4 linked regions of the Rhinolophus ferrumequinum genome follow. The protein of the gene in region 4 interacts with the protein of the main gene of each other region in a pairwise test. Links are inferred from orthologs where the notes say so. Each region holds a gene or a part of one and is shown on either strand. Other genes may lie near its edges.

The links.
Region 1: the proteins of CRX (region 4) and M1AP interact in binary tests that used the Homo sapiens proteins (3 or more experiments, as listed by UniProt). The two-hybrid records come from large-scale screens. The link is inferred for Rhinolophus ferrumequinum from reciprocal best matches to the Homo sapiens genes CRX and M1AP.
Region 2: the proteins of CRX (region 4) and LARP4 interact in binary tests that used the Homo sapiens proteins (3 or more experiments, as listed by UniProt). The two-hybrid records come from large-scale screens. The link is inferred for Rhinolophus ferrumequinum from reciprocal best matches to the Homo sapiens genes CRX and LARP4.
Region 3: the proteins of CRX (region 4) and PPP1R16B interact in binary tests that used the Homo sapiens proteins (3 or more experiments, as listed by UniProt). The two-hybrid records come from large-scale screens. The link is inferred for Rhinolophus ferrumequinum from reciprocal best matches to the Homo sapiens genes CRX and PPP1R16B.

Annotation. Positions count from the first base shown.
Region 1 is NC_046296.1:17,443,121-17,450,081, forward strand, and holds the start of M1AP (meiosis 1 arrest protein), read left to right. Parts: upstream 1-3,958; 5' UTR 3,959-4,003; coding exon 4,004-4,243; intron 4,244-6,961. UniProt on the Homo sapiens protein: Required for meiosis I progression during spermatogenesis.
Region 2 is NC_046293.1:51,101,821-51,109,279, forward strand, and holds the start of LARP4 (la-related protein 4), read left to right. Parts: upstream 1-4,439; 5' UTR 4,440-4,634; coding exon 4,635-4,652; intron 4,653-5,069; exon of another isoform or gene 5,070-5,209; intron 5,210-7,459. Other genes in the region: protein FAM186A, read right to left, coding at 907-1,077, 4,127-4,204. UniProt on the Homo sapiens protein: RNA binding protein that binds to the poly-A tract of mRNA molecules. Associates with the 40S ribosomal subunit and with polysomes. Plays a role in the regulation of mRNA translation.
Region 3 is NC_046306.1:17,491,658-17,499,653, reverse strand, and holds the start of PPP1R16B (protein phosphatase 1 regulatory inhibitor subunit 16B), read left to right. Parts: upstream 1-4,990; 5' UTR 4,991-5,108; intron 5,109-6,353; exon of another isoform or gene 6,354-6,505; intron 6,506-7,996. UniProt on the Homo sapiens protein: Regulator of protein phosphatase 1 (PP1) that acts as a positive regulator of pulmonary endothelial cell (EC) barrier function. Involved in the regulation of the PI3K/AKT signaling pathway, angiogenesis and endothelial cell proliferation.
Region 4 is NC_046298.1:43,662,222-43,669,419, forward strand, and holds CRX (cone-rod homeobox protein), read right to left. Parts: upstream 3,003-7,198; coding exon 2,903-3,002; intron 1,986-2,902; coding exon 1,834-1,985; intron 782-1,833; coding exon 155-781; downstream 1-154. UniProt on the Homo sapiens protein: Transcription factor that binds and transactivates the sequence 5'-TAATC[CA]-3' which is found upstream of several photoreceptor-specific genes, including the opsin genes.

The sequences.
Region 1 (6,961 bases), on a different chromosome or scaffold from region 4:
TTTAAAGTAGTCTTGAAATTGCACAATGTGGGATCTAAAAATGACTGTGCAAGCTGAAACGGTTCAAAGTGATCTTAATAATCAATGGGGAAAATTACATTTGTTCCAGGACCTCTCAAAATTGTCCTCAATTGTTAAAATCTCTCTTATTGTCAGTTATAAGTATACAGGGAAATGAAAAATAATAAAACCAGTATCTATTTAGCAAACTGTAATTTATAACATTAGAAACATTAACAATTAAAGTGTTTTATTTCTTCGTAAAAACATCAAAAGTAGTTTCAATAGTGTTTGTGCTTTTCTTCTTCCCAAGATATATCTTATGATAAAGCAAGCATCTTTTCTATGCCTTAGCAAATTGTTATACTCCTAAGTGTGAATCAACTTCCAACATTTTGTCCTTTACACTTTCAATTTTGTAAAATATCTCCAGGAGTTCCTCTAATATGAAGGCACTTTCAATTGGACATTTTCATACATTTTGTCATAAATACTTTCCTCATTTATGTTGAAGGTTCACATTCACTAAGTACTCTGACTGCTTATCTAGAATCTATCAAATGGTGTCATTGTCAATATTCTGATTGCTCTTTCTTCTATTGCTCCGTTTATGTTTGATTCAACTTGCTCTTTCAGTGTTACATCACTTATAGTTTCTTTGCGACACTTTCATCTTTGTTTGCCAGTTCCCTTTCAATTATCCATTTTTGTAAAATGTCACGTGGATTTATCAGTAGGAAACAAGGCAGTAAAACAACTATACACTTTGCTGTCTGTGCTTAAACTGATTAAGAGATCTACAGTGACTGCTCACTGACAAACTTTGAAAGAAATGGCATAATTGATCACGGAGCATGATGTGCATCTGTTACTTATGTAGTGATTTGTGGCCAGAAGAGCTAGCTGAGATTTGCACTTTATGTAATTACAGTTAATATTCTATGGTAATTGAAATTTGAACTGTGTTGATTGGTGCTGGTGTTATTTAACTAAATTATATTTGATTTGAGATTTGTATATATTGGAATCATGAAAAGTTAGAACTGCCTATACTCTAAAATGGCAAGAGTCTCAGACGTGAAGGAAGATGGGCAAGAGGAATATAAGCTCATTCTATATGAAGTAAGGCCTCTATCTGGGTGTCTGTTTGTCTGTGTGAACCTGTCTGTGTGTCAGCCTCAAATTCAGCATTACATTGGTCCTATGCACTTAATTTTACAAGTACAGTTTAAAAATATTTATGATATGTGCTTTCTTGGTAAATACTTTAGTCATTGGCTTGGATTTCTGGTTCAATATTACTTTCAACAGATTAGCATGTTCATTCATTTATTTGTTCATCTGTACCCAGTACAATTGGAGGGCAATAAAAAATTGTTCAATGAACAAATGCTGACTTCCACTACCCAAAAAGGAAAATTTGAAAGAGATTGACTTCACAAATTCATTTTGAGAAACACATTTATCTATGCACTTTTAGATCATTTTTAAAGATCCTAAATTCCAAAATGTTTCTAAAAAATATCATAAATATCTTTCTCTTGGACCCAGAGGAAATTAAATAAGCTTTTATTTCCCCTTCATTTTTTTTTTAGCTAAAAAACAATTATATAAAATTATTTTAGTTCCCAGAGGTGGGATATGTTTTTTTAATCTAAAAAATATTTTATGTTTGTCCTAATGTTCTTTTTGAAATATTTTTATCGTTAAATATAACGTATAGAGACTATTTCATAAAACATGAACATATAGTTTAATAATGATAAAGTGAGCAACCACAATAAAAGTCAAGAAATAGAACATTGCCAATATCCCAGAACCTCCTCTTTTGTCCCTTCTAGTAGTAATGTACTGCTTCCTTTCTAGAGAAAACAGCTCCCCTAATTTTTGTGATAATCATTTCCTTTCTTTTTAAAAATAGTTTTACCATTATGTACCGATCTCTAAACAATATATCATTAGTTACGTTTGCTTATTTCAAAATATCTATGTGAATGGAATCTTACTAATCTTTGTGTCTTGCTTCTGTTATTCAATATTGTGCCTTAAGAGTCATCCATTGGGTGGTGAACACACAGTGTAATTTATAGATGATGTGATACAGAATTGCACACCTGAAATCTATGTAATTTTACTAACAATTGTCACCCCAATAAATTTAAAAAATAATAATTAAAAAAAGAGAATAGAAAGGCCAGAAATTTACATACATATGAACAATTGATAATTTTGCTATGAGTTCAATAAAGATCTAAAAATAAAAAAACAAAAAATAAAAAATAAAATAAAGAGTCATCCATGTTGTTGCATGAAACTCTAATTCACTCATTTTCATTTCTGTATGTGTGAATATACTGTGGTGTTTGCAGTTTGGGATAATTGTGAACAAGACGTTATGAATAGTCTTTTTGCTGCTATGATCTGACTTTGTTCATGTATCCTTGTGCATGTCATTATTCACAGATTATATGATTGTGAACAAAAAAATCCAAAAGGATCTAACAGATAAATTGTTATAATTAATAAGAGGGCACGCAATTGCAGCAAGGTTGTTAAATACAAAATCAATATACAGAAATCAATTTTATTTCCATACATTAGCAACAAACTTAAAACGAAATTTTAAAATACGTCATGTAAATTAACATTAAAAATAGCAAATTTCTAAGAATAAAATTTAATAAACAATGAGAACTTTTGGAGAAAATTATAAAACTGTGGATTCTTTTAGATTTTCTATATATACAATCGTATCGTCTGCAAACAATGACTTTAATTTCTTCCATTATTCTTTTTATATGTTGCTATTTTCAATTTGCTTATATTTTATTTAGGATTTTTACATCTGAGTTCATGGATGAGATTATCCTATAAATTTTTTTCTTGTAATACTCTTATCTGATTTTGATATCAAAGGTTATGCTAACCTAGTAAAATTAACTGAGCAGTGTTCCTTCTCTTATTCTCTGAAAGAAATTAAGATTGAAGTTCTTGGTCTTTGAGAGTTTGATGGAACTTGTCAGTGGAATCATCTGACCCTGTAGTTTATTTTGTGGGAATATATTTGACTACCAATTAAATTTCTTCAATGGTTATAGAGTATTTAGGTTTTAAATCTTCTTTGTTAGTTAATATTGGTTAGGTATATTTTTCTAGTAATTTGTCCAATAAGGCTGAAGATCAAGTCATGAAGGGTCTCAGACAAGTCCTGAAGGAGGAAATGTGGTCTTATTTTCATTTTTAAGAATGAAAATTGTTTTTTGTGTTCCAAAAAACAATGAGCACTGATAAAGTTGACGAAACATTCTTCACCCTTGGAAAGCTTACAGTATAGTGGGAGAGGAAGTCATAAGAACAAATTACAATACAGTACAATAAATGCTAATAAAGAAACAAAGTTTATGAGGGCAGATAACTTACTTTGAGACTGAAGTTTCACTTTTGTATATCTTTTTGATTAGTTCCACTCAACATCTTTAAGCATTCTCAGACTTACATTACAGGCGAACATCTAAATCCCTTGGGAGCTATTAAGCAGGGATAGCCTTCCACAACATTTATCATTTAAGGTGTATAAATCAGTGGTTTTTGCTATATTCACAAGTGTGTGCATCCATTACACTCTATAATTCCAGAATGTTTTCATCCCCTTAAAAGAAACACTTCGTCCATTAGCAGTCATTCTCCATTTCTCTCTGCACTCAGCTTCTCGCAACCATTAATTTACTTTCTGTCTCTATGGAGTTGCCTGTTCTGTACATTGTACATAAATGAAATCACACACTAAAGAAACAAATAAATAAAAATGCGATAGCCAGCCTAGAGAAGCTTGAGTTAGTACCCAGTCTGACTCCTTTTTGGACTTAATCCCCTAGACCTGTGTTTATTGTTTCCACAGAGTATATAATTCAGTTTTATGAAAGACAATGATTTCTCTTTTCTTCCCTGTAGTTGTAGAGAATATCCAGGTGGTGGCTGCAGTTCCACCTTTGGTCTGGCTGCCATGTATCATGGACGAACTACTGGTAAAGGAGCCTCCACTCCCACACAGATATACGAGCGACCTCCGAGGATTCTCATTGTGCATATCGCTCTACCGTCCTGGGCTGACATCTGTTCCAACCTCTGTGAGGCTTTGCAGAACTTTTTCTCTCTAGCTTGCAACTTGATGGGCCCCAGCCGCATGTCCCTCTTCAGCTTATACCTGGTACAAAATCAGCATGAGTGCATCCTCCCCTTTGTGGTGAGTATATCTATATTTTTTTCACTTTATCCTGAAAGGAAATATGAGGTTTCTGAAGCAAGGATCACAGTTATTATTACTTATAGCATTAACTGTGCTCATTCTTATACCCAATACCACAGGCAACACAATGAGAGCCAGATGTCATCCTACACATAAGGAAGGGGGTGGGGGGCATTGTACTACAAAAGAGGAATCCCAAAATTATTAATATGGGAGTTTAAATAGGCTACATCTTGCCCCTCTCCACGCTTGAGAGAAGGAGAGAAACCTTGGCATTTACAGACCTTTGGAATATAAGCAACTGACTCTTCACACCTTTGAAATGCAAACACAGAATAATACATCTCTAAATTTCTTCAGAGGCCTCTGGTTATTCAATCACCCTTTAACTTCCAAGACTTGTCTTTTCACTCAGGTTCCAGTTTTCTTTGCTCAGAAAGTCCTAACTGTGCAGAAACATGAAAATGTGTTCTCTACTGTTTCACATGGGACTCAAATGAAATTCCCACTAGGGTTTCCGAAGGCAAAGGCTGGGCCAAAGCTCCCTTACACATAGACAACTGTGTCTCCTCATCATCAATCGAATTCAAATCTTCAGTTGGTCCCCTATACAAAGTTCAGAATCACAGGGATGGAAAGACTTCGGAAGTTCTAGTGCATCCTCTTCCTGAGGCAGCCTTGCTGCTAGGATCATCAGGGAAGGTCTGCTGGAGAGCCAGGACTTTTGTCCCTACCTGGTGGGAACAAGATCTCCTCCCCCTAGTGTCCATGGGAGCCATGTGGGAGCCTGTACGACCGCTCTCCTACCCTACATTAACAATGCCTCTGCCGCTGAGGTGATGCTGGAAGAGGCAGAGTGGAGGCCACGTGAGGAGTGGCAGTGAGGCACCTTTTTATTTCCAAGGCAGGATGGTGTCAGTGAAGGCCTAGTGAAAAGCCAGGACTTTTATGCCCACCTGATGGTAATGAAGCTTCCCCATCCCCAGAGTATCAGTGGGGGCCATGTGGGGAGACTGAACTTGCACCGCTACCCAAAAATAACAATGCACCCTCCCTTCTGGGTTGTAATCAGAGGCCAAATAGAGTTACACCCCTGGCAATAATTACCTGGAAACCTCACTTCCCCCACTGGTACAGTGTCAGAAGAGGCCTGCTAAAGCAAAATATTTAAATAAGATCCAAATCCTTATAATACCCAAAATGTCCAGAATACAATAAAAAGAAAATCACTCATCAAGAACTAGGAAAATCTCAACTTGAATGAGAAGATAACAGACCTCAATACTTAAATGACACAGATGTTGGAATTATCTGAAAAAGATTTTGAAGCAGCCATCATAAAAATTGACAAGTTTTCAGTGATTATTTCTTTGAATACTTTTTTTAGCCCATAGAAATTGAAGCATCATAAAAATGCTTCAGCAAGCAGCTATGATCATTATGAACATGCTTAGAATAAATGGAAAAAATAAAATCTCACCAAAGAAAAAGAAGTACAGAGAAGAACCAAACAGAAATTTTAGAACTGCAAAATGCAATAACTGAAATTTGAAAAACAAAAACCTTCGATGGTCTCAACAGCAGAGTAAAGAGGTCAGAAAAGAATCAGTGAACATGAAGATAAAATAGAAATTACCCATTCTGAGCAACAGAGAGAAAATAGACTTTAAAAAAATGAACAAAGCCACAGGGACCTGTGAGACGGTAACAGAAAATCTAACATTTGTGGCATCAGAGTCCAAGAGGAATGGGAAAGGAAGGTAGGGTAAAAAATATGTTCAAAGAGATAGTCACTGAAAATTTGCCAAATTTGGCAAGAGTTATAAACCTACATGTTCAAGATGCTGTCTAGCCTCAAACAGGATAAATGCAAAGAAATCTGTTCTAACGTAGAACAGATTCAAACTTCTAAAAACTAAAGACAAACTCTTGAAAGAACACTGACACCTTACCTAAAAGGGGAAAAAAATCAAGTAACAATTTTTTTCATCAGAAACTATGGAGGCCAGAGGAAGTGTCACATTTTTCAAATGCTGAAAGAAAAGAACTGTTGGGCCGGCCCGGTGGCTCTGGAAGTTGGAGCTCCGTGCTCCTAACTCCGAAGGCTGCCAGTTCAATCCCCACATAGGCCAGTGGGCTCTCAACTACAAGGTTGCCAGTTCAACCCCTCGAGTCCCAGAAGGGATGGTGGACTCCGCCCCCTGCAACGAAGATTGAACACGGCACCTTGAGCTGAGCTGCAGCTGAGCTCCTGGATGGCTCAATTGGTTGGAGCACGTCCTCTCAACCACAAGATTGCCGGTTCAACTCCCGCAAGGGATGGTGGGCTGGCCCCCTGCAACTAGCAATGGTAACTGGACCAGGAGCTGAGCTGCGCCCTCCACAACTAAGACTGAAAGGACAACTTGAAGCTGAACGGCACCCTCCACAACTAAGATTGAGAGGACAACAACTTGACTTGGGGAAAAAAAAAAAAGCCTAGAAGTACACACTGTTCCCCAATAAAGTCCTGTTCCCCTTCCCCAATAAAATCTTTAAAAAAGAAAAGAAAAGAACTGTTAACCTATAATTCTGTGTCCAGTGGAAATAAGGAATAAATCAGAAATAAAGATATTTTCAGGTGAAGGAAAACTAAGAGAATTTGTCACCAGCAGACTTACCTTAACAGAATTGTTAAAGGAAGTTCTTGAAACAGAAAGGAAATTCTAAAAGAAA
Region 2 (7,459 bases), on a different chromosome or scaffold from region 4:
ATGATTCCACTTATATAAAATTCTTTTAAAATGAAAAATAATCTATAGTAACAAAGCAGATTGGTGGGGGTGGGGCAAAGAAGGGTGTGTGGGAGTGAAAACTTTTGGGGGTGATGGGTAAATTCATTGTTGATTGTGATGGTTTCACGGGAGTTCATGTATATTAAAACATACTTTAAAAATACACATTCTATTGTATGGCAATTACACCTCAGTGAAGCTATTAGAAGCAAACACTGTGTTACTGTTGCTAGTTGTGGGGAGTTGGAACTCCGGTAAATCTACCTGGTGAATGAGAAAGTACATGTACCCATTCAGCACTTCCGAAAGTAGGAAAGAACTGCCTCTGAGTTAATTTGTTAACCTGACTGATTTTGTTGCATTCTATCTGAGATTAGAGTACAGCACTGCCTTAATTGTTTGGGAGTCTATTTGATATATTATTTAAACTCTTTTTTAATTGCTTTGTATTTCTCTTGGCCAATAAACCCCTCTTCCAAAAAATGTTCAGTGGAAACAAAAGGAACTAGAGTTCAAATTAATCTATGTTTCTCTTTATTAATAGTTATTTGATAAAAACTCAGTTGTGAACAAATGAAAACTATTGATTAAAATTAGATATCAAAATTGGCAATGGATTTTAATTTTTCTTTGTGTCCAAATCACTCAGTAGCACATGTGATTTATTTCTCTAAAACTTGATTAATTCCGATATTAAAGTGAAAGATATTAACATAAAATTGGAGCTTGTAATCCATAGTCAGGAGAAATCGTCATTTGAGCTCAACGTTACCTCAAAACAGTCAAATATCATGCAAATAATGTAAGTTCTAAAAAAAAAACCTGTAGCTGGTCATGGAAAGTTAAAAAAAGTTGCATCCTGTAAACTTCTCATTTACTACCTACCTGTCTGGCTCGAAAGAGTTTTGCTTGCTCAATCTTAGAGATGATTTGCTGTGCTGTGTCTGGGATCTCAAGTTTAGAGACCATTGATTGGGCTATTCTGGACATGATGGGATCCATAACTTCATTTTCTGATTCAGATTCATCTTTTGTCTCATTTTGCATTTTGGTAAATATTTTGAAAAGTTGAGTGATTTTCTTTTATTTCTTCTTTCCACAGAATATAAGCAAATGCTAACAAATGTGTAGAAAAAAGCTAGAAGAGGTTTTTTTCCGCTTCCAAGGGTTGTGATTTACCCTGCTACTAATTGGTTGCTAACCATGGTGTTCCATTCCTGGTGATGTCATAATAGGCCCATTGTGACATTATTGTTGACTCAAACATTTAAAGAGTGCTTAGTATATGCAGAGAACTAGGCATTCTATATGCTGTGATGGTAGAAGGGTGAGGGGGGAGGGTGGGTAGGAAAAGACTAGACAACAGGAACGATAAAAGAAACAGAAGAAATAGCCCGCTTACATGAGCTTAAAATCTAGCTGTTAGAATTCAAGATCCAGTGTATCAAATGTAACTCCCTTCAAGTAACTCTTCTTCAAGTTTTACTTAAGAATTTTTCAGCCTGTAATGGAATACTTGTGTTACAACTTCCTCAGCTGCCCTTCAACTTTTGCTAGACATGCTGTAACTTGGAAGGTGTTCTTTGAACGATTATCATGCTCTTTGCACTACCTAGTTACCTGTTTTTTCAAGGAACCTGACTGAAGAGGCTTTGAAGTTCCATAGTTGACTCCAGAAATTGAAGGGAACGCTAGGGCTGCTTTTTAACTGAAAGAGGAGTGCTTTGGGCAGCTTCCTTGATTGCAGAGGACATGAAAGGATTTAGGAGACTGGAGGAATTCAAGGACAGGGTAGTTTTGTTGGCTGTGTAGCTTAATTTTTAATTTACAAAGATATGAAAAATGACATATAACATATGTATATATACTATAACATATAGCCATGTGTCTATCACCTGGATTGAATATTAACATTTTTGTCATATGTGCCTCAGATATTTTTAAATAAAGCATTAGAGATAACATTGAAGACCCCTTTGGTGTTCTCCCCAAATTCCTTCCTTCCCCTCTATCCCTTTTTAGAGGCAATGACAATCATGAATTGGATGTATTTATGTCTAGTCTATATTTATATGGTTTTACTACAGGTATATGTATTCATAAACTATATAATATCATTTTGTAGGTTTTAGATTTTATACAAGTTTTGGATGTTCTCTACAAGAACTTCCTATTTGAATACTTATTGTGAACTTAGTCCTATGTTGAGTCCTTGTTGTAAACTTGTAAAGTTAAACAATATATATATTTCAGGCCTTCAGAGAAAGGGAGGCAGAGGATCATCAAGTAGTTGTCTTTTAAAAATACCAGTATATTTAGCGAGAGCAAATTAGATCTTTTTCCTTCTCTTTAATTAAGATCCTTTGTCTAAGTTACTCCCTCCTCTGTGTTTCCAAATCACTTTGTAAACTTTCTATTATAGTACTTAACTCATCGAAGTAGAACTATTATTTGTCTCTATCTACTAGTTGGTGAACTTCTCAAAACCAGATGCTGTACTTAGTTTTCTTTTTCTAACATTTGGTATATTCTTCCTCAGTTCCTCACAGAAACTGTCTAACATTTGGATATCCATTATAGTTTCAGATTCTTCTTATGGAAACTTTTCTAAGCCCCAGAATACTTCCTTGTATTGTTAGGCCCACTCTGCCCCTAGCCATAAAATATTACTCCCCCCTTTCCTGTAAATCACAAGTAAGTCTATTCAAGGAACTTCATGTTTTCTGAAAGGACGACAATTAAGGAGAATTATTTATTTTTATAAATGTGAGGTTTGATAAAAATACCCATCATTGTCCGGCATTTCTTGAGATTATCAATTAATCCGTTTAAGTACTTTGTTGATAATATTAGATTGTGAGACCCTTAAATAACTTTCATTTCTCTTGATTTCTTTACATTGGTTACTCCAATAGGCATTCACAAAGCTGTCTACATGCTTGTCAACTAAACTAATTTAGCATTATTGTGTTCTCTCTTTCTCTCATATTGTTTATGCATCATGGAATTTGTCAGCAACTGGAAATGAAGACTTTTTAAAGCAAATTTAAAATCTCTCTCCCTCCCTTTCAATTTGACAAGCATTTGTTGAGACACAACTATGTGGCTACCATCATCCTAAACTGTGAAGAATATGATACGGTACTTGTGATGCAACTAGAAAACAAACAAAAAAGGAAAATGATTTAAGATAGAATATAATATTATATTCAAGTGCTAACAAGGGACATGAAGAAGAGATCTGTGGGGAGCATTGGGAAAACCTCATGGAGAGAGAAGGTTGATTGACAAATGAAGCCATTCCAGATAAGGAAGACCCTTTAAGCCATGGCTTTGGAGGTGAGTGCTGAGTTTGTGCTTCAGGGGAAAAGTGAGGAGATCGGTTTAATTGGGATGAAGTAATGTTGAGTTTACTGGGGATCAGATTAGGGAGAGTATGAAACACAAATACTAGCAATTTGATGGGGGAATTAATTTAGCACCTAAGGAGATTCATTTGAGCTAAAGTAAGGTAGATTATGTGGGATCAGAATGGTCTTGAAAGCAAATAACAGCAGTTTTGGTGAAAGTGAAACCTTCAATTTAGGAAGATTTTTGAAATAATAGAATGGGAAAAAATCCATTGGAGAAGATCAAGACATGACTATTTCAAAAGATGAGGGTCTGAACTAGGATATAGAAGTGAGGCTGACAAGGGAGGAATAAATCCTACTAGGTATTGTTAAAGATAAGGAATTTGGATCATCTAACAAAATTATAAAGATAACGAAATTTTAAAAATTATATTTCATTTGAATTGACGGCAGAACACCAAGAAGAGACTATCCAAACTAAGTGTTATTAAGTAGCATTATATTAAGCAGAGATGTGGGCACCCGATTCAAGCGAACGTGGGGCAAAGTTCTTTAAAGGTGTGTCTAAGAGAAACCCGCCCTTCTAGAGGGCTTCTTTAACTGATAAAATGGGGATAATAGTATATATTGCATATGATTGTTTTCAGATTAATTCATGTAAAATACTTAGACTGCCAAACACATAGTAAGCATTTAATATACAGCAGCTGCTATTAATATATTTACTATTAGTGCTTTTTCTTTTCCTCTACTTTTTTTCTGTTATCCACCACCTTTTCGGCAGCGTTGGGCGTTCCTTCAGAACACTTCGCACAAACTCGGCTCTTCATCACATCTAGATTTTGAGCTATGAAAACTACGAAATTATTAGTTATCTGTTTGGCAATGGATAAAACGCAGTACGACTTTTACACACCCCCGTAGCACAGAATGGTGCCTTCCTCTGATCGCTTCCCTCTTCCTCCCAGGGCAGATGATAGTACTTTCCATGCTGCTGCGGGAAAAGGTGGTGCAAAAGTTGAGCACCCCGAAGATTGTCTCTTCTCCCGGAAGCAATTGTTCTTTAGAACCGGAAACAGTTGCTGTTTCAAGGGAGGTGGGACTGGGCGGGTCAGGCCGCAGCGGCTGACGGCGGGGGAGGAGCCGGGTCCACTGCCGGGTGGAGGGGCCAGGCGAGTGTCCTTATCCTAGCGTTTGGGGCTCGGGCCTGTACAGTTGGAGTAGCAGCGGCGAGAAGGATTGGGCCGAAAGGGGGAAGACATGTTGCTCTTCGTGGAGGTGAGTGGACTCGGTAATCTCGTCCTGCTCCGAAGGGAGCAAGAGTGTGCAGACGCCGGCCGGTCCCACCGCCATGTGACTTTCCAGGCCGTACACGCCGCGGAGCCGGCAGATAGGCTGACACAGCACCTGGGCCGTGCAGGCCTGCGGCTCCACTTTGCACTCTCACAACACTTTCCGAAGCTGTGGGATGTGAGGGCCGGAGTCGGGGAACATAGAAGGGGGAGAATCGAGGCTTGTCGGGTGTGGGGTGAGGATCAGAGGAAGGGGGAAGTGTCCCATATGGATCTCCTAAAGGAGGCAAACAGGCGGGGGAGGGGGAGGGGGCGGAGTCTGCGGAGAAAAGGGTAATCAGGTGGGCGCGTTCTGGGGGGTGAAGCGAGGCCTCGCGGGGCCCTCTGGGAGGGAGGCGAGCAACATGTGGGGCCGCGGAGGGAGGACGCTGGAATTCGGTAGAAGTGTTTTGAAAAGAAAGTTGAAAGCCTCTTTTTAACAACCCTCACCAAATTTTGTTTGGTCCTAGTCCCTCGGTCTCTGGAACGTTCTGTGGGCGGAAAGTAAGTTACTGTGAACGGAGGAGAAGCCAATAGGGTTTGGAAGCCTTGAAAGGCACCGCTTTGACCTTTTGTAAAAGTTACTCAAGCTGCGGCTGGGGGGGTGAGGAGTTGGTTTTATGAACCGACGAAAGCCCTTTACAAGGAAAATTCCAAGAATGAGAGAAACCTACTCTGCGGGAAGATTTTTTTTTTGTATTGTTGTTTAACAATAGAAATACTTTTATTACTTTAAGGAACTCTGTTGTTGGCCTATTTTGATTTTAAAAGTAGTGGATACCTGCCTTACACAAATACGAGGTTTAATTTCTCTTATTTCTGTCTTTCTCTTGTGTGCAGTGAGCATCAGCTGACTGCCTGGCTAATGCTTTGAGTATATTCCAGATCATATTGTTCTTGCATTGTGAAAACGTCAAACCAGCAAAGCTGCAACTTCGCAACTCGGCACTTGTTAACTATGCCCATAAAAAGAATCTTTTCAATGAGGGAAGGAATTTACAGGTTGCGTATAGTGGATCGGGGAGCTGGGGCCAGTCTATGGCGTTTTTTTGGAGGAAGGGAGGGATCTTATTCCGTAATATTACGGCGTAAAGTAAATACATACTCTCGCTTTAAAAATCGAATCAGTGTCACTGGTAAATGTGGGATCTTTAAATTGGGTTTTAAATTGACACAGCTACCTTAGAGTATGTCCAACATTGATAATAAACATTCATTGTAACATTCCAAGTAAGGCATAAAAAGATTTAAAATTACTGAGCCCTTCTATTTACCGATTGTATCCTCACTGTTGTTTTCCTTTAGGCAGAAATAAGAAATCAGATATGATTTTAAGCAGTGCCAGTTTGTGTTAGGAATGTTATGCCGTGCAAATGCCGCAGGTTTCAAGTGTGTATGTGTTTTGCAGGACAAAAGAAAGCCTGTGAAATTGTATTTATATCGACATGAATTCCAAAATAAACTTTTGAGTTCCAAATTGATTCCTTTGGCTTTGTTAAAATGTGAACTTTAATAGTAGCTTCATTTATTGAGTGTTTAAGATCTTTTCTTGTTTCTAAAACAACAATGCAATGTTTTACAGGTGAGAAAACTGAAGTGGAGAGGTTAAGTAACTTAGTAAAAGTAAAGTAGTGGAATTAAGATTTAGATACAGGTCATTCTATATGCCAAATCATGGCTCTCACTAAACTGTTACATAAAATCAATGTTTCCTTGAATCACTTTTTTTTGTGTGAATCAGTAAGTGGTTTAAAATTTTTCTTATAATGAGTTTTATAAAAAATTAACAATGTCACTAAATACTTGGGACTGAATATATGTTAAAATCAGTAAAAAAAAAAAATCCCACTGGTTATTGGCATTTTGTTAACTATCATTTGATCTTTATAACCTCATGGTATAGGAATTATTTTTAAACCAGTGAACCCAAGCTCAGAAGTTTGATGTCTAAGGTCATTCAGGTGTGAATAATGTGAAGACTAAAGTCTGAAGTCTAGCTTCTAGAACATAAGTCTCAGGTCCCAAAATTTATTTTTTGCACTTTTCCTCTAAATCAGGGGTTCTTACTCTGGGTCCCTAGATAGAATTGAGGAAGTCCATGAACTTGGTTGAGGAAAAAAAAGTTGCCTGTTTTTTTTCCCACTAGCATCTGATTGAAATCTAGAATTGAAAATTCTTGAAATTTCAGTGAATGCCACAAGATAAATATTTCTATATATAATACAGTTTTTGCAGATAATCTTGAAATATTGTTTACCCTCATTACTCTTAAAAATGTTACTTAATAGTAAAGCACATTTGTTACTAAATTTAAAAACATCTTGATGACTATAATATAATTGGTTTATTTTGTGATCCTGTGTATTTCATATATTTAAAAACATTCTGAGAAGAGATCCATAGGTTAATTGGACTATTAAATAGGTCCATAGTACAGAGAGGTTAAGAACCACTTTACTATAAACCAAGTTACTTTGGTAGGATCGCTCTAATCTGGGATCTGTGAGTCCTCTGCAGTTGTGTTCGGGATCTTTTACTTTGAGTACATTTTTAGGCAGAACCCAGCTTAACTAGGGATAGATAATAGCACTGATAACAGTAATGCTATAATAATAGTGGTATACGTATGTATTGCGCTTACTATGTATCAAGCCTGTTAAGTGTTTCTGCATGTATGCATGTAGTATACATCTACTCAAGCCTACTTAGGAGATTAAGTAGCATTATTTTAGAGATAAAGAGACTAAGGCACAG
Region 3 (7,996 bases), on a different chromosome or scaffold from region 4:
ACAGTATGTCTTTCTAGGGCCCATCAGCTCCAAGTCGTTGTCCTTCAATCTAGTTGTGGAGGGCGCAGCTCAGCTCCAAGTCCAGTCACCGTTTTCAATCTTTAGTTGCAGGGGGTGCAGCCCACCATCCCATGCAGGAATTGAACTGGCAACCTTGTTGTTGAGAGCTCACACTCCAAACAACTGAGCCATCTGGCTGCCCCTCTGGCAGCTCAGCAGCTGCTCATTGTCTTCAGTCTAGTTGTCAGGGGTGCAACTCTGTGGCCCATTTGGGAATCGAACCGTCAACCCCGTTGCCAAGAGCTTGCGCTCTAACCAGCTGAGCCATCCGGCCGCCCTGGGCACCAATACTTTTTAAAGTTCCCTTTGTGAGTCCTGTGTACTGCCAAGATGGAGAGCCACTGGCCTAGGAGGGTTCTCTCTAAACTGAATATAAAAATGAAAACCCATCTGCCCCTACTCCTAGTTCTGCTTCACGTCATAACATCGCAGGACTGAGCTCACCTGCTAGCCAGAAACATCTGGTGCTCCCTCCACACCACTGTGGGGCCCCCACTGTGTGCAATGCTCCACCAATGCTCTTTGGGGAACTTACAAAAGAGGCCAAAGAAAGGTCATTTCCCTCAAAAGCATGGGGACGTGGGAAAAAATGCACACATAAACACACGTAAGTATTGTACAATCGGGAGTTTCACAGACCAGGAAACGGACACTCTGAAAGGGGAAGTGACTGCCCAGCCAATTCATGGTAGAGCCAGGACTCTTACCCAGAATGCCTTTTTTCCACTCAGCTCATTTTCCCTTGGGCCCTAGCAGCACCTTCTGCACTTCCTGCACATTTGTTGGTTGGGCCCGGCCTGGAGCCAACATTTCACCAGAAGCAGCAGCCACCTATCAAGGCTTAAGGCTTACCCTGGGCCAGGTTTTGGACTAAATATTGTTGAATGAATGAATGCAGCCAGCCCAGCACCTGCCAACCGTCTGGCATTGAAACCAGTGGATTAAGTAATCTCAAAAATGAATCCCTTTGAGCTGTATTAGCTCATTTTTTCACAATTTAGAAGTCTCTAGGACTTCCTTATTCTGGAGTCCTTGCCTCGCACCACAGCACCCATATAATTCACCCAAATTCTACCTTCTACGTAATTTACATGTAACTGTGAGCTGACTTGAATTGCAATTGACTGGTTGATATAAAGTTATGTAGATATTTGATTCTATATTTGTAAACATCAATGTTTCAGGTGTTAAATGTTGGAGCTAATCCATTTATTTTCAGGTCCTCAAATATTTTCCATAGTTTGTTAGAATATTCATTAGTCTTGGACCCTCCCCTAATGTCTAACAGATCATAAGTGACCTCAAAATAAAGCGATTTGCATTTCATTGATGGCCTGGGGACAAGAGAGAGAGGTTTGGAGAACATGGTCAGGGTTGCCTTCAAGGACCAAGACCAGAGAATAGTTTAACTTTTTTTTTTTTTTTTTGGGTAAAAACTCTTTTGAGATACAATTCACATACCATACAATTCACTCATTTAAAGTATAAAATTCAATGCTTTTTTTGTATATTCATAGTTGTGCAACCATTACCACAATCAATTCTTTTTTAAACTTTTGTTTATTTTAAGTGTATTTTTCCAGGACCCATCAGCTCCAAGTCAAGTAGTTGTTTCAATCTAGTTGTGGAGGGCGCAGCTCACAGTGGCCCAGATAGGGATCGAACCGACAACCTTGTTGTAAGAGCACCGCGCTTTACCCACCTGAGCTAACCGGCCCCCCCACAATCAATTTTAAAACATTTTCATCACCCCAAAAAGAAACTTGTGCTCTTTTTCAGTCACTCTCCATTTGCCCTCCAAAACCCCCTTCCAACTTTAGAGAACCACTAATTTACTTTCTGTCTTTATAGATTTGCCTATTCTGGACATTTCATACCAATGGAATCATACAATATATGGTTCTGTGTTTGGTTCTGTCACTTAGCTTAATGTTTTCAAGTTATGGAATGTACCACATTTTATTTATCCATTCATCATTTGATTGACATTTGGGTTGTTTTCACTCTTTGGCTATTATGAATTATGTTACCATGAACATTTGTGTACAAGTTTGTGTGGATGCATGTTTTTATTTCTCTTGGGTCTGTCTATACTCAGGAGTGGAATTTCTGGATCACCTGGTAACTCAACATTTAACATTTTGAGGAACTGCCAGACTATTTTTGAAAGCAGGTACAGCATTTTATATTCTAACCAGCAATATATGAGTTTTCTAATTTCTCCACATCTTTGTCAACACTTGTTATTATCTGTCGTTTTTATTATAGCCATCTTAGTGAGTTTGAAAGTGTATCTCATTGTGGCTTTGATTTGCATTCCTTGATGGCTAGTGATGTTGAGTATCTTCTCATGTATTTATTGGCCATTTGTATATCTTCTTTGGAGAAATGTCTAATTCAGATTCTTAGTTCCTTTTTTAAATTGAGTTATTTGCTTTTTTTTATTGCATTGTGAGAGTTTCTTGTATATTCTAGCTATAAGTTCCTTATCAGACATATGATTTGCAAATATTTCCTCCCATTCTGTGGGTTATTGTATTTGTTTTCTAAGGCTGCCATAACAAAATACCACAAACTGAGTGGCTTAAATAACAGAAATTTATTTCTCACAGTTGTGTTGATCAAGGTGTTTGCAGGTTTGGTTTCTCCAGAGGCCTCTGTCCTTTAACTTGTAGATGGCATCTTCTCCGTGAGTCTTCACAAAGGCTTTCCTCTGTATGCTCATCCGTGGTATCTGTTTTTCATAAAGACACTGGTCATATTGTATTAGTGCTCCCCCCTAAGGGCCTCAGTTTAATTAACTTAATCACTTTTTAAAGACCTTATCTCCAAATACAGTTATATTTTGAAGTACTGGGGGTTGGGACTTCATGTGAATTTAGGGGCACACAATTCAGCCCAAAAGTTATCTTTTCACTTTTTTGATGGTGTCCTTTGAAGCACACCTTTTTTTTTTTTTTTTTAATGAAGTCCGATTTACCTCTTTTTTCCTTCGTTGCTTGTGCTTTAGGTGCCATATCTAAGAAACCTTTACTTAATTCAAGGTCGTGACTTACACCTATGTTTTTCGCTGTGAATTTTATAGTTTTAGTTCTTTCATTTCAGTCTGATCCATTTTGAATTCATTTTTGTGTATGATGTGAGGGAGGAGTCCATCTTTATTCTTTTGCATGTGGAAATCCTGTTCCCCTAGCACTATTTGTGGAAAAGACTGTTCTTTCCCTATCAAATTGTCTTGGCACACTTATTGAAAATCAGGTGGTTATAAATGTAAGTGTTTATATCCAGACTTTCAGTTTTATTCCACTGATCTGTGTGTCTATCCTTATACCCGTACCACACTGTCTTGATATCTTTGTAGTAAGTTTTGAAACCAAGAAGTGTGAGTCCTTCACCTTATTCTGAGCATATTTGAACTTCTGTCAAACACTGTAAGCGACATGAATGAACAACACAACATGGGGGTTTGGGCCTACACTGAAGGCTTCATTTCAGGAACACAGAATCCTGTCTTGGAGAGATGGATTCCGGCCCTCTCAGCCCTCAGCTTTTCATGATAAATCAGTGGAAACATTCTGCAGAGAACAATGATCCCCCTGGGTTTTTTAAGCATCACTTTAAGTCTTCCCCACCTGCTCTGCTAATTGCTCTGACTGAAACAGTGTCATTCACAACTGGATTATTAATGAACTGAGAGGAAGCCAGGAGGAGAATGGTGGGGAGAGGGGGCTTTCAGAGGATTTGAGGGGCCTGGAATAAGCCCAACCCAGAGTTTTTCACTTCCCCAAGAAAGGTTACTGAGTTTTCTTAGCAAGCAGAAAACCACTAAACTGTCAGCCTCAGAAGAACATTGCTAGTGAGTAATGACCCAGAGGAGTTCTTCAAACAAGACTGCTGGGAATTGAATTAACTGTGTACCACCCCTTAGCTCCCCAAACTTAAACCTTGTCTGCGCCCCACTGGCTGGCCCTAGGGCTCTAAGCTGGAGGTTGAGAAAGCTCAGGAAACAAGGCCCTTTGTGGAGAAGAGAACTCCATTGTTTTAAAGCCAGTGTTCAGCGAGTGTGGATTCCAGAGAATGTTTTGGGATGGGTTTTTCCCCTTTGTTAACTTTCTCTCCTCTTCCTGAGGGGGTGGGGGTGAGGAGTAGGGTCTTCTCAACAACAATCTTAAGATAGTTAAATCTCTTGTTCTGTAAAGAAAAGATGTTGCTCAGAGTGCAGGGGCCTTCAGTCCAGTAAAGAGGCTCGAATTTGATGATAGAAGTGACTGGACGTCTTGCTTTGTTTTTCATTTTTAGCATTAAATGTCAGGGAGGCAGCACCTTTCTAGAGCTTGCACATCTCAAACAGTGGCAGACGTCAGCTTAGGTACGACCACTTCCTTCCTCCTCCGCTTCACCTCCTTTCTTTCCAGAAAAAGGAAATGATGCAAGTCCACGCCGCAGGCTACGGCGCCCAGGCTCCCAGGTCTAGCTTCAGCTCCCCCGTACCCCCAACTGGGGGATCTACTCCCACAGACCTGTCCCCAGGGCGAGGCCTGGCCCGTCTCCTTGATGTCCTAGGAAGCCTTCAGAGTCAAGCTGAGCAGGCCCTCAAGGTAAGAGACTTGAATTCGTGGCACTGTACTAATTCTTGTGGCCTTGGGTAGGTATCGCTCCTCTCTGGACTTCACGATGCCCTTCCGTCAAATGGGAGCAAAAGTACAGATCTGGGCTTCCCCCTTCCCGTGGTGGTGGTGGAGCGGGGATGGGGAGAAGACTATACCCAAGCCTGGCCGCATCCCAACTTTCTTCAATTTCGAGCTGCTCAAAGGAGGGGCTCCCATTCAAAGGAGGGGCTCCCACCCGAGAGTGCCTGGACCCTTCAGGCGGAGCGCGCCCACCCACTTCCCGCGAGCTCAGGCCCCGCCTTGGGGGAGGAGCCGAGGGGCGGTGCCGAGGCTCGCGGGGAGCAGAGCTGGTTTCTGTCCCTCACCCGCAGCGGAGGCTCGGGGACTGACGGACAGAGCCGGGGCCGGGAGCCTCCGGGGCAGGGCTCGGGAGAGCGGGTGAGTTCTCCAGCGGCGCCGCCTCCCTGCTGCGCTCTGCGGCTTGACCCGGTAGGGGATGAGGATGGCGGCGGGGAAGTGGTCCCGGCCTCTGACAGTCTGGCTGGGGGTGTGTGCGGCGTTTTGGCCAAGGGCCAGTGGCTTAAGATAATTGGGCGGGGGGGGGGGGCAGTAGAAAGGCGGGTAGCGGGAGCTCAGGACCGGAGAGGCTGGCTGGGGTGGGGGCGTTCTCCCGGGTCTCGCGCGCCAACGATGAGGCCGGGATGCGGGGCGCATTGGCCGGTTGTTGGCTGGGGTCGCCGTGGCCGGATCATGGGGCGGCTCGGGAAATTTCGGCTGGACTCTCGGGTCACCGTCTGCCCGGGGGCGTAATGCCGGGAATTGGGAACCACAACCAGCATCAAACATCCCCGTTGTCCAGCCTCCGGGCCCGGCTTGGGGGCGCCGCCCCCTCGCGTGGCGCCGCTTGGTCCCCTCAGGCAGCGGCGGGGCGCAGAGAGCGCTCCTCCCGGAGCGGGAAAGGTCCCCAGGGCAGGCGACCCCGCGTGTCCAGCCGCCCCGCCGCGGGATCCAGCTGACAGAGCCCTCCAGCCCCTGTGAGACCCCGCTCGTGGTTGTTCCGGGGGAGAGGTGCGCCGGGCCTCTCCAAAGGGCCGCGTGCGCCGGCTGCTGGGTACCCAGCTCCCGGAGCGCTCTTCTCCTCCCGAGTCCCGCGCTTCGACTCTGGCGGGAGGAGCGCCCCCGAGCGCCTAGGATGGGCAGAAACTGTGCAGCTTGCCCCAGAGAGGTCGCACGGGGGGTCTCCCCAAGGTCACCAGGACCGCCCAGGCTGAGCTGCCAGACCGCCCGAGAGGAGAGCAGGGAGGAGGAGGCGCTCGCTGCTGCCTCCTTCCCTGATGCAGACTCCCTCCTTCCCGCCTCCTCCTCCCCCAGTCCGGGCCCAGCTTCACTGGAGATGCTGATGATGCAGCTCCCAGCCGCGGGCGGATAACTGAGCCTCCGCGAGCTTTGAATCTGGCCCTCCCGGCACCTCCGGCGCCCGGACGGGGAGAGAGAGGAGAGAGAGAGACACGGCTGCTTAAGCGCTTCTCAGAACCGAAAGCCGAGCTGCTTGCGCGCCCATGTGATTGGATTCCACATAATGGGCCCCTGTTCTCGCTGTCAGAAGCGCCCACCAGCTCCCCGCGGTCCGGGCACCAGGTGCCGCCTGTGAATCGCCCTCTGTGGAGGACCCGGGCCCTGAGGTACCAGGCGCCCTTGCCCGCAGGGATCTCTCGGGAAGGGGCCCGTGGTTAGCTGCCTCAGCCCGCGGGGATACTTCCTTGTGCCCTGCCATTTCCTGCGGCTCGTACAGCACCGGGAAAACCCCTCCGTCTGGGAGGCCTCCTCCTAGGCAGGTAATAAAGCTTCTTAGCTCACTCAACCAGTGACTAGCTGTTTGCCCGAGGGCATGGCACTTGGCCTCTCGGAGCCTCAGTTGCCTCTATAAAATGGGGCTAAGAATCAGGCTGTGGGGGAGGGCGGGGAGAGGACCCATGGGAAGTGCTTGGTGCAGTGGAGCATGGCAGGATGAGTGCTTCTAGGTAAATGCTGGCGCCTTCCATACTGGTTTTGAGTGGGGCGTGTCTCTCAGGCAGGGGCAAAAGTGGAGCCCTGGTAGGTGGTTCTGCAGGGGTCGGGGGATTTTCTACAGCTCCTTCCCTCAGCTCTGTCAAAAGGAGCCAGCTTGCAGGCAGCTGGTGGGTGCTGGTGAATCCTTTCAGCTGGCAGCCTGCTCACAGGGCCTTCCCACACAAATCCCCAGCCCTTTCTCTCCCACCTGCCACCGGGATGTTGGGGACAAGATGTCAACCAGACCACTCTGGATGTCCAACTTTGCACCTTTCTGTCATTGGGAGTCTGCCTGACAGTGTCCCCCATCCTGGAACCTTCCTGACCCCTTGGCTGGTCCCAGCTCTCCCCAGCCCTGGAGTGTCTTCCTACAGGAAGGACACTTGATCCTTCCTACCCCTCTTTCAGTTTCCCCCATGTGACTGCTCGGTGGCTTGTGCGTTGGCTCTCGTTGCATCTTGGTGCTCTCTGAATCTTCCCTGGTATGGAATGACATGGCGGGTAAGGCCAACGCATGCTTAGACTCTCTCTGGTAATTGATGCTGAAGTGAAGGTTAAATTCTAGTCTAGTTAAGTCTGTTTGGGAGCCTGAGTCACAGGCCTAAGAGGTTGCTGACACAGGAAGGCGGGTTTCCCCCCAAGCCCAGAAACTTCCTGCAAAGCCCATGAGGACTTTGGAAACTAGGGGCCCCAGGTTCCTTTCAAAACCTGCTCCATCTCCAGAGTGAGCTTTCTCTGACCACCAGAGGCTGCAGCCAGTCTGCTTTTACAGGTCACAGCAGGTACATAGCTGGATCTGTGTGCTGTGCTTGGACCCTCAGGAACCCAACCCAACCTTGCGCCTCCCCCAACCTAGCTGTCCCGCGCCCTCCACCTGCACCCAGGACTTGGAGCATTTGATATATAGTGAGTCCCAGCTGGCATTTTCTGGTGGAGAAACGAGGACAACCTTCTTTATCTTGAACACATCTCAGAGACTGGGTTTCAACTAGGGTTTGAACAAGCCAGCTTCCTACAGAAAGCTACAAAATATGAAGAGCAAGGGATCAGGCAGGTCTAGTTCAAGTTATAGCTCTGTGTAAAAGCTCTGTGACCCTGGGTAAATTATTCACTCTATTTTTTTAAATGTTTTTTTAAATTTTAATTTTATTGCAGAATATTGGGGGACAGTGTGTTTCTCCAGGGCCCATCAGCTCCAAGTTGTTGTCCTTCAATCTACTGGTGGAGGGCACAGCTCAGCTCCAAGTCCAGTTGTCATTTTCAATCTTTAGTTGCAG
Region 4 (7,198 bases):
GGAAAGGGGTGGGTTGTGTTGAGCTACGCTGCTCATGCAGTCAAAGCGTCCACAAGCCTTGGAAGGATGACTGGCTCCTGCTGCTCTCTCAGAGGTGCTGGCCAAATATCTAAGCTGTGGGCAGGCGGGTGTAGAGCAGAGATGGAGGGAGAGGCTACAAGACCTGAAACTTCCAGGCACTGTGATCCTTGTAGTCCAGAGGATCCATGGGGTTGTAGGCGAATTTCCAGGTGCCTGTGGGGTCCTTGAATTCCAAGCTGTCCACAGGGCTGTAGGCGCTGTAGCTCTGGCCTGACAAAGATGTGGGGGACTGGGCCAGGGAGGGTCCCACGGAGGGGCCCGAAAGGGGGCTGAGAGCCGGGCCCCCCAACTGGGGCACCATGGGAGAAAGGTAGGGATCCAGGCCACTGAAGTAGGAGCTGGGAGACCCATAGGCTGAGGGGGAAGAGCAGAAAGCAGAGGCTGGGGCGTAGGTCATGGTGTAGGGGGCTGAGGGGAGAGAAGGCCCTGAGGCCACGGGCAAAGGGGACTCTGAGGCCGGACTCCAAATGGACACAGTGGCCACTGCTGCGGTGGGAGAGCCTGAGGGGCCAGCTAGAGGGGGGCTGTAGGAATCTGAGATGCCCAGGGGGTCTGGACAGACATCCGTGGGGGCTCTTGGGGACGTGCCTGCCTTCCTCTTGGCAGGACGAGCCTTGGCCTGTGTCCCTGGAGGCTGCTGCTGCTGTTTCTGCTGCTGCCGCTGCTGCCTACATTTAGCTCTGCGGTTCTTGAACCAAACCTGGGGGGTAAGAGGGGAACGCCGGTGGGTGAGTGGGGAGGAGACCCAGGAGAGCCCCCATGGTGCCCAGAAATGATGTTGTTTATGGGTGAGACACACCAGAGTCACACCGCTCCACTTTGCAATCAGTTATAGGTCACTCCATCCATCCACTTATCCACTAATCCATCCATCTATCTATCCACCCACCTTACTGTCTGTCCACCCATCCACCCACTCATTCATACATACAACCATACATACATACATTCATACAAACACACGTGTCCATATCCATTCATCTAATCATTCACATATACATAAATACATTCATTTATCTAATACATACGTAAATCATATATAAATATACACATACAGTTGTACACACACACAGACACACACACACATATTTAACCATCCAGTCATGAGTACATATATGCAATCATACAAGCAAACACATACACATTGGTACATGAATCATACATACATCCAGTCATACAAATATCTAATCATACAAATACACACACATATACACATTCATCCATTCAATCAGTTAATAAACATGCATTAACCGTCTTCTACTGCTCTGGGGATATACATCAGTGGAGCTGACATTCTACTTGAGAGAGACAGATTATAAACAGTAAGTAAAGCACATAATATTTTAGAAGGTGATAAATACTACGGAAGAACCGATTGAGCAGGAAAGAGGGAGCAGTAGAGTTGGGGGATGTGGGGAAAGATTGCAACTTTAAATTCGACTGCCGGTGGAGGCCTCAATGACTTGATTGGTGGGTAAAGACTTGAACAAGGTGATGGGGAATAAACGTTCCAGGCAGAGAGAACAGAGAGTGCAAAGGTCCTGAGGCAGGAGTGTGCTTGGTGGGCATGTTAGAGGAAAACCGAGGGGCCAGTTGGCTGGAGTGGAGCGAGAAGGGTAGGAACACTGAGATGAGGCCAGTGAAATAATGGGGGTAAAGGATTATTCTGGCCTTTCATGACTGTGGCTGCTACTCTGTGGCTTCTTTCTCCTCCCATCACTCTGGGCCCCAAGAAGGGCCGGAACATCCCACCTGAACCCTGGACTCAGGCAGGTTAATCTTCAGGGCCACCTCCTCACGGGCATACACATCCGGGTACTGGGTCTTGGCAAACAGAGCCTCCAGTTCCTCTAGCTGGCTCCGGGTGAAGGTGGTCCGCTCCCGCCGCTGCTTTCTCGGGGCGCCTGGGTGGGGAAAAGGAAAACGGGACCCTTAGGTGACCTGGCTCCATTCTCTTCATCTGCTGGTGTGAGGCCCTGAGGGTGTGTGGGACGCTCAGAAACCCCTTCTGTGTGTTCATGTGCCCTACCCTTCTGGACCTTACTCCGCCTCCCTGGGTATGGGGTCCCTTTTTGCCTGTCATTTTGGGGCTCATGCCTCACCCCGAGGACACCTGGCTTTAGCCATGTAAGGAGGTGTATGAATTTGTTTTTTGGTCCCTTTCTAATTTCTTAGACACTAAAACATGACACTGGATATTCAACCATTTCTAGCCTATACAACTGGCAGATGCATAATGTTCAACTTAATGAAAAAACAAAACAAACACCAAACAGCTAAATAATAATGCCACCAAAAATACAAAGAGAGCTCACTTCTCTTAGAAATAAAGCATTTCTGGGCCGGATGGCTCAGTTTGTTAGAGCATGAGCTCTCAACAACAAGGTTGCTGGCCTGCAACTAAAGATTGAAAACGGCGCCTGGACTTGGAGCTGAGCTGCGTCCTCCACAACTAGATTGAAGGGCACCGACTTGGAGCTGATGGGCCCTGGAGAAACAAACTGTTCCCAATATTGCCCAATAAAATTTATTTTTAAAAAAAGAAATAAAGCATTTCTAACAGATGGAAATTCCTCTGGTTCCTCTTCCAGATCACTTCCCTCTCCTTCACTCCTGATGGAAACACTATCCTAAATTTCTTTGAATGTCTGTATACTTTCCTGAATCCCTAAGTAGTGTTTTGCATGGAGTAGTGTTTTGCATTTGCATATGACCCTGATGTCACCTCTGTAAGTGCCCGTCTTTTTCCTGAGGGCAAGGGACTCCAGAAGCCCCCAGTAGATGGGGGCCAGTCTGGGATGGCAGGGACGACTGTACTCACTGGGGTAGGAAACAGCTTGGTGCATCAAATCCACACTGGAGCCACTCAGAGCCAAGGCATTGACGGAATAGTGGGGCCCCGGGTTCATATACGCCATCATGGTCTTCCTGGACGCTGGTGCCCAGGTCAGTGGGCCTGCAAGAGAAGGGGTGCGGGGCTCAAACACTCCCAGTTACCGGATGGTGACAGGCAGGCTTAGGATCAAATCCTGCCTCAGTCTCTTCTTAGCTATGGGACCTTGGGCAATTTCTCTCTCCGCTTCGTGCCTCAGTTTCCCCACCTATAATAAATGGCCCGCTGCTTAGGGTCCTCAAAGCTTCACTGAGACGCTGTCCGTTAAGCAGAGCTGAGGCTGTAATGGACATCTTAAATAGAAGCTCTACTTCCTGCTCTGTCCTTTAAAAAATCTGATCCTGCCATTTCCCTCTCCAAAATCTTTTCTTTCTGTGACCCGGGAAAAGATGTTCAACCTCACGCAGAATCACAGAGAGTAGAGTGAGCAGCGGTCCCCGGTCTGACTGAAACAGAAGCTGTTTTAAAGATGTGGGGCTTCCGGGTGAAACCTGGGAGAGTCCCTGACAAACCAGGCTGGTGGCTCACCCTAATTGTATTAAAACGTCAGCAAGCGATGATCTGCCACGACCATTTTTGACCCATCGGGTTGTATGTATGTACTAGACGGATGGATACGGTTATGTGTGTATAAATGATTAGATGAATGGATGTAGGGATGGATACATGTGTGTTTGTAATGACTATGTGTATGAACAATTAATGGGGAAATAACTGTATTTCTGTTCCTTGAATTCATCTCTGAAATAGCTGGTTTCCAATAACTTAAATCAATCTTTGACCTGTTTATTACGTATGTGTCTTAGAGTCAGGATTTAAAATATTTTAAAATTACACTTTGACAATAAGGGTGTGTGTGAGGGTGTATGTGTGTAGTAGAGGTCATATACTACCAAATTATATGTAATAGTAACTATATAACATATACGTGTACAATATATATTATATATAGTCAAAGAAAAAATATGGTGCTGAGCAGTATGTATAGCATGTTACCATTTGTGATTTTTAAAACAAGGCAACGACAATAATAATATTATTATTATTATAGATGCATGTCTATGCATTGAAAATTTCCAGGAAGGACACAAGATAGGGTAAAAGTGGCTGCCTTGGGAGGTGTGCTATATCCATACATTATTTTTGCAGTTTGGGTTACTTTTTAACCATATATATGTGTCACCTTTTCAAAAACAAAATATAAACTCTAAAAAGAAAAGAAAAAGACATGAGAACATTTCCATGGCCCCTATCCGCTATTGCCCTCTTTAAGATGTCTCAGAAAACCTTGCAGCCTCTCTGGACACACACAAGCTGTTCCCTGGGCCAGAAATGCCTCTCCCCAGTTCAAAACCCCCTCTCACCAGCTAACCCCTTTCCTCACCCACGATTTCAGCTCAAACATCACTTCCCAAGGAAGCTGTCCCACACTCTCAGCTGGATCTCTCTCTCTCTCTCTCTCTCTCACACACACACACACACACATTTTCTCTCTCCTGTTCTTCAAGACCTTGCATGTATTAAATATGACACATTTTAACTTTGTTTACCTGTCTCCCCCAGCTCTGTCAGAGGAGTGCAAGGACTAGGTGTATTTCCATCCCTGCTCTGTCCCCAGCACCAATAAATATTTGAAAAGTAAGTAAATGAATAAAAAGTAGACGATATGTATTTCAGCTCCTACTCCTTTCTTCTCCCACTGCCCCATCCTTCTCATCTCTCACCTGAGAGACTTCTATTTATTATAAATTAAGGACCTACTGTCCATTCTGTAAATATTTTTCAAAGGTCCACCATGCTCTAGGAACTAGGGATGTGGCAAGAAATAAGACACGCAGCATCACTGCTCTCATGAGAGTGAACTTCCAGATTTGAGTCAGAAAAACAGACAGTGAACAAAGAAGTAGATGTTTTAGAAAATCAAAATGCTTTCAGAGAATTTCAAGAATTCCGGGAAAAATTAAATGGAAGAATATAATGACGAGGTTTGGAGTGAGGGTGACACATCTAATTCCGATAAAAGAACAGGGAAGAGCTCTCAGTAAGGAGGTGACCCTGGAGCTGCCAAGTTTCCTAGGCGTGGGAAGATCTCAAGGTCGAGGCTTTTCCAGGCAAAGGGAACAGCAGGTGCAAAGGCCTGGAGACTGGAATAGATTTTTCTTGTTGGAGGAGAAACAAGGTGTCCAGTGTGACTGGAGCAGAATGATCAAGGGGGAAAGTGGACTAAGATTATGCAGGACCTGATGGGAAGGTCACTGGGGGTCTCAGTGCTGATAATAATAAAAACAAAAACAACATTAAGTCCTAAGAATCTATTGGTGTCCTAAGCAGGACCCAATAATCTTCACCCTGGTCGTCACACCCTTGACTTGTCCTTCGCACTGAGCAGGGCTGACGTGTGCAACCAATAGGATATCGCAGAAATGACCCCATGACTTCCGATTCTGGCTCTCCTTCTGGAAGATGCTCGAGCAGTCCTATGGAGAAGTCTATGTGGTGAGACACTGAGGTCTCCTGCCAACAGCCATGGAGATGAGCCCCCCAGTCAAGCCTGCAAACGACTGCAGCTCTGGGCGACCTCTGAATCCAGCAGCAGACTCTGAGCCAGAATCACGCAGCGAGGCTACTCCTGGATTCCTGTCCCTCAGAAATCGTATGACATCGTACATGTTTACTGTTTCACATTTACCGTGAGGTTTGGGGACGACTTGTTACACAGCCATAGATAACTCATACACAAGCCTTTTCTATGCAGGATACCACTGAGTCCTCAGCACAACCAAGGGAGGTAGAGACTGCATTGCTATGATGCAGATGGGAACATCTTCAGGCTCAAGTGCCATGACTTGCCCAGGGTCACACACAGGCTGTGGTTGGGGACCCAGGATTCCTACCCTGGAGAATTCCTGAAGGCCCTGTCCTCCCAGTCCCCATCCTGGATTCCCTCTGTCCTCTCCCTCTTCTCCAGTTCCATCACAACTGCTAGACAGAGTAGAAACAAGCAGAACTGTGAACCTGTCCTGCTAGGGGCAATTTGCAGGACTTGGAGCAAAAGCATCGACTTCTGATGTCTTCACCATCGAATCCACACCAGGTTATCCCACTAAGTGGCTGGCCTTTGGGAAAGCCTAAATTTCTCTCACTGGGTGATCCCATCCTACAGGTAGGGAATCTGAGCCTCTGGGGGAGGCAGGTATTCACTCAAGATCAAGCAGCCGATAATGATAATGACCTCTAGGACGGAGGGTTTGCCAACTCCTCAGACACCTGATAAGAGCTTCATGGACAAGATGTCAGCAAAGAATAATAACAACAAAAATAAGATCAGACACCTGGTGGAAAGCTTTCTCTGGGTTTGGCAGCAAGCTGAGGACCTCAGGATTTCTTCCCTCGACAGACACTCAGCCGAAGGCTTTGTGTGTCTGATCTCAGGAGCACAGACAACACCTATTGTTGTTGACCTACTATATTGACCTTCTGTTGGTTCACTCGGCAGCCCTATTATCCTGCTGAGTGAATGTCGAGGCAATGGTGCTTCATGATCCCAAAGAGTGGGACGAGGGAGACCACTGTCCCTGCCTTGGGAATCAACCTGTGGGGCCATAGGCTGGTGCTCGGGGCTCTTGGGGTTCAGCAGCCGCTGGGTCCAGGTTCCCACCTGAGCAGGTGCTCTGACAGGTGAGCCTGAAGGCTGGCGCACACCTTGTGGATACTCATGGAGATCATCCATCCTACAGGTGGGGAAACTGAGCCTGAGGGGAGGGGAGGAAGTTACCTGCCCCAGGTCAGGCAGCTGATAATCCAGTGAAAACTTCCTACAAGGTAGGTCCTGTTATCATCCCACTTCACAGAGGAGGAAACGAAGGCTCCGAGAAGTAGAGTCCCCCGTCCTGTACACGTGTCAGCAGCAGAGCCAGAGCTGAGCCAACACCTGTCCCTGAGCCTGTGCCCTTCTGACCGCCAAGCTACACGGCTTCTTAGGAGGCTCACCACAGCCCCACGGAGCTCAGATGTCCATTTCTCAGATGAGGAAACTGAGGCTGAGTGAGGTTCTCTCAATTCTCGAGGTGCCACAATTCTCCAGGGGTGTGTGGCACAGCCGGGAATAGAACCTAGATATCTCAGGCTCCAGAGCCCTGCTCTTGATCCCCAAAACAACCTGCGATACCCCCAGAGCAGAATGAGGCCAACCCCCTCCCATGCCTGCGACAGGGGCTTCCCATC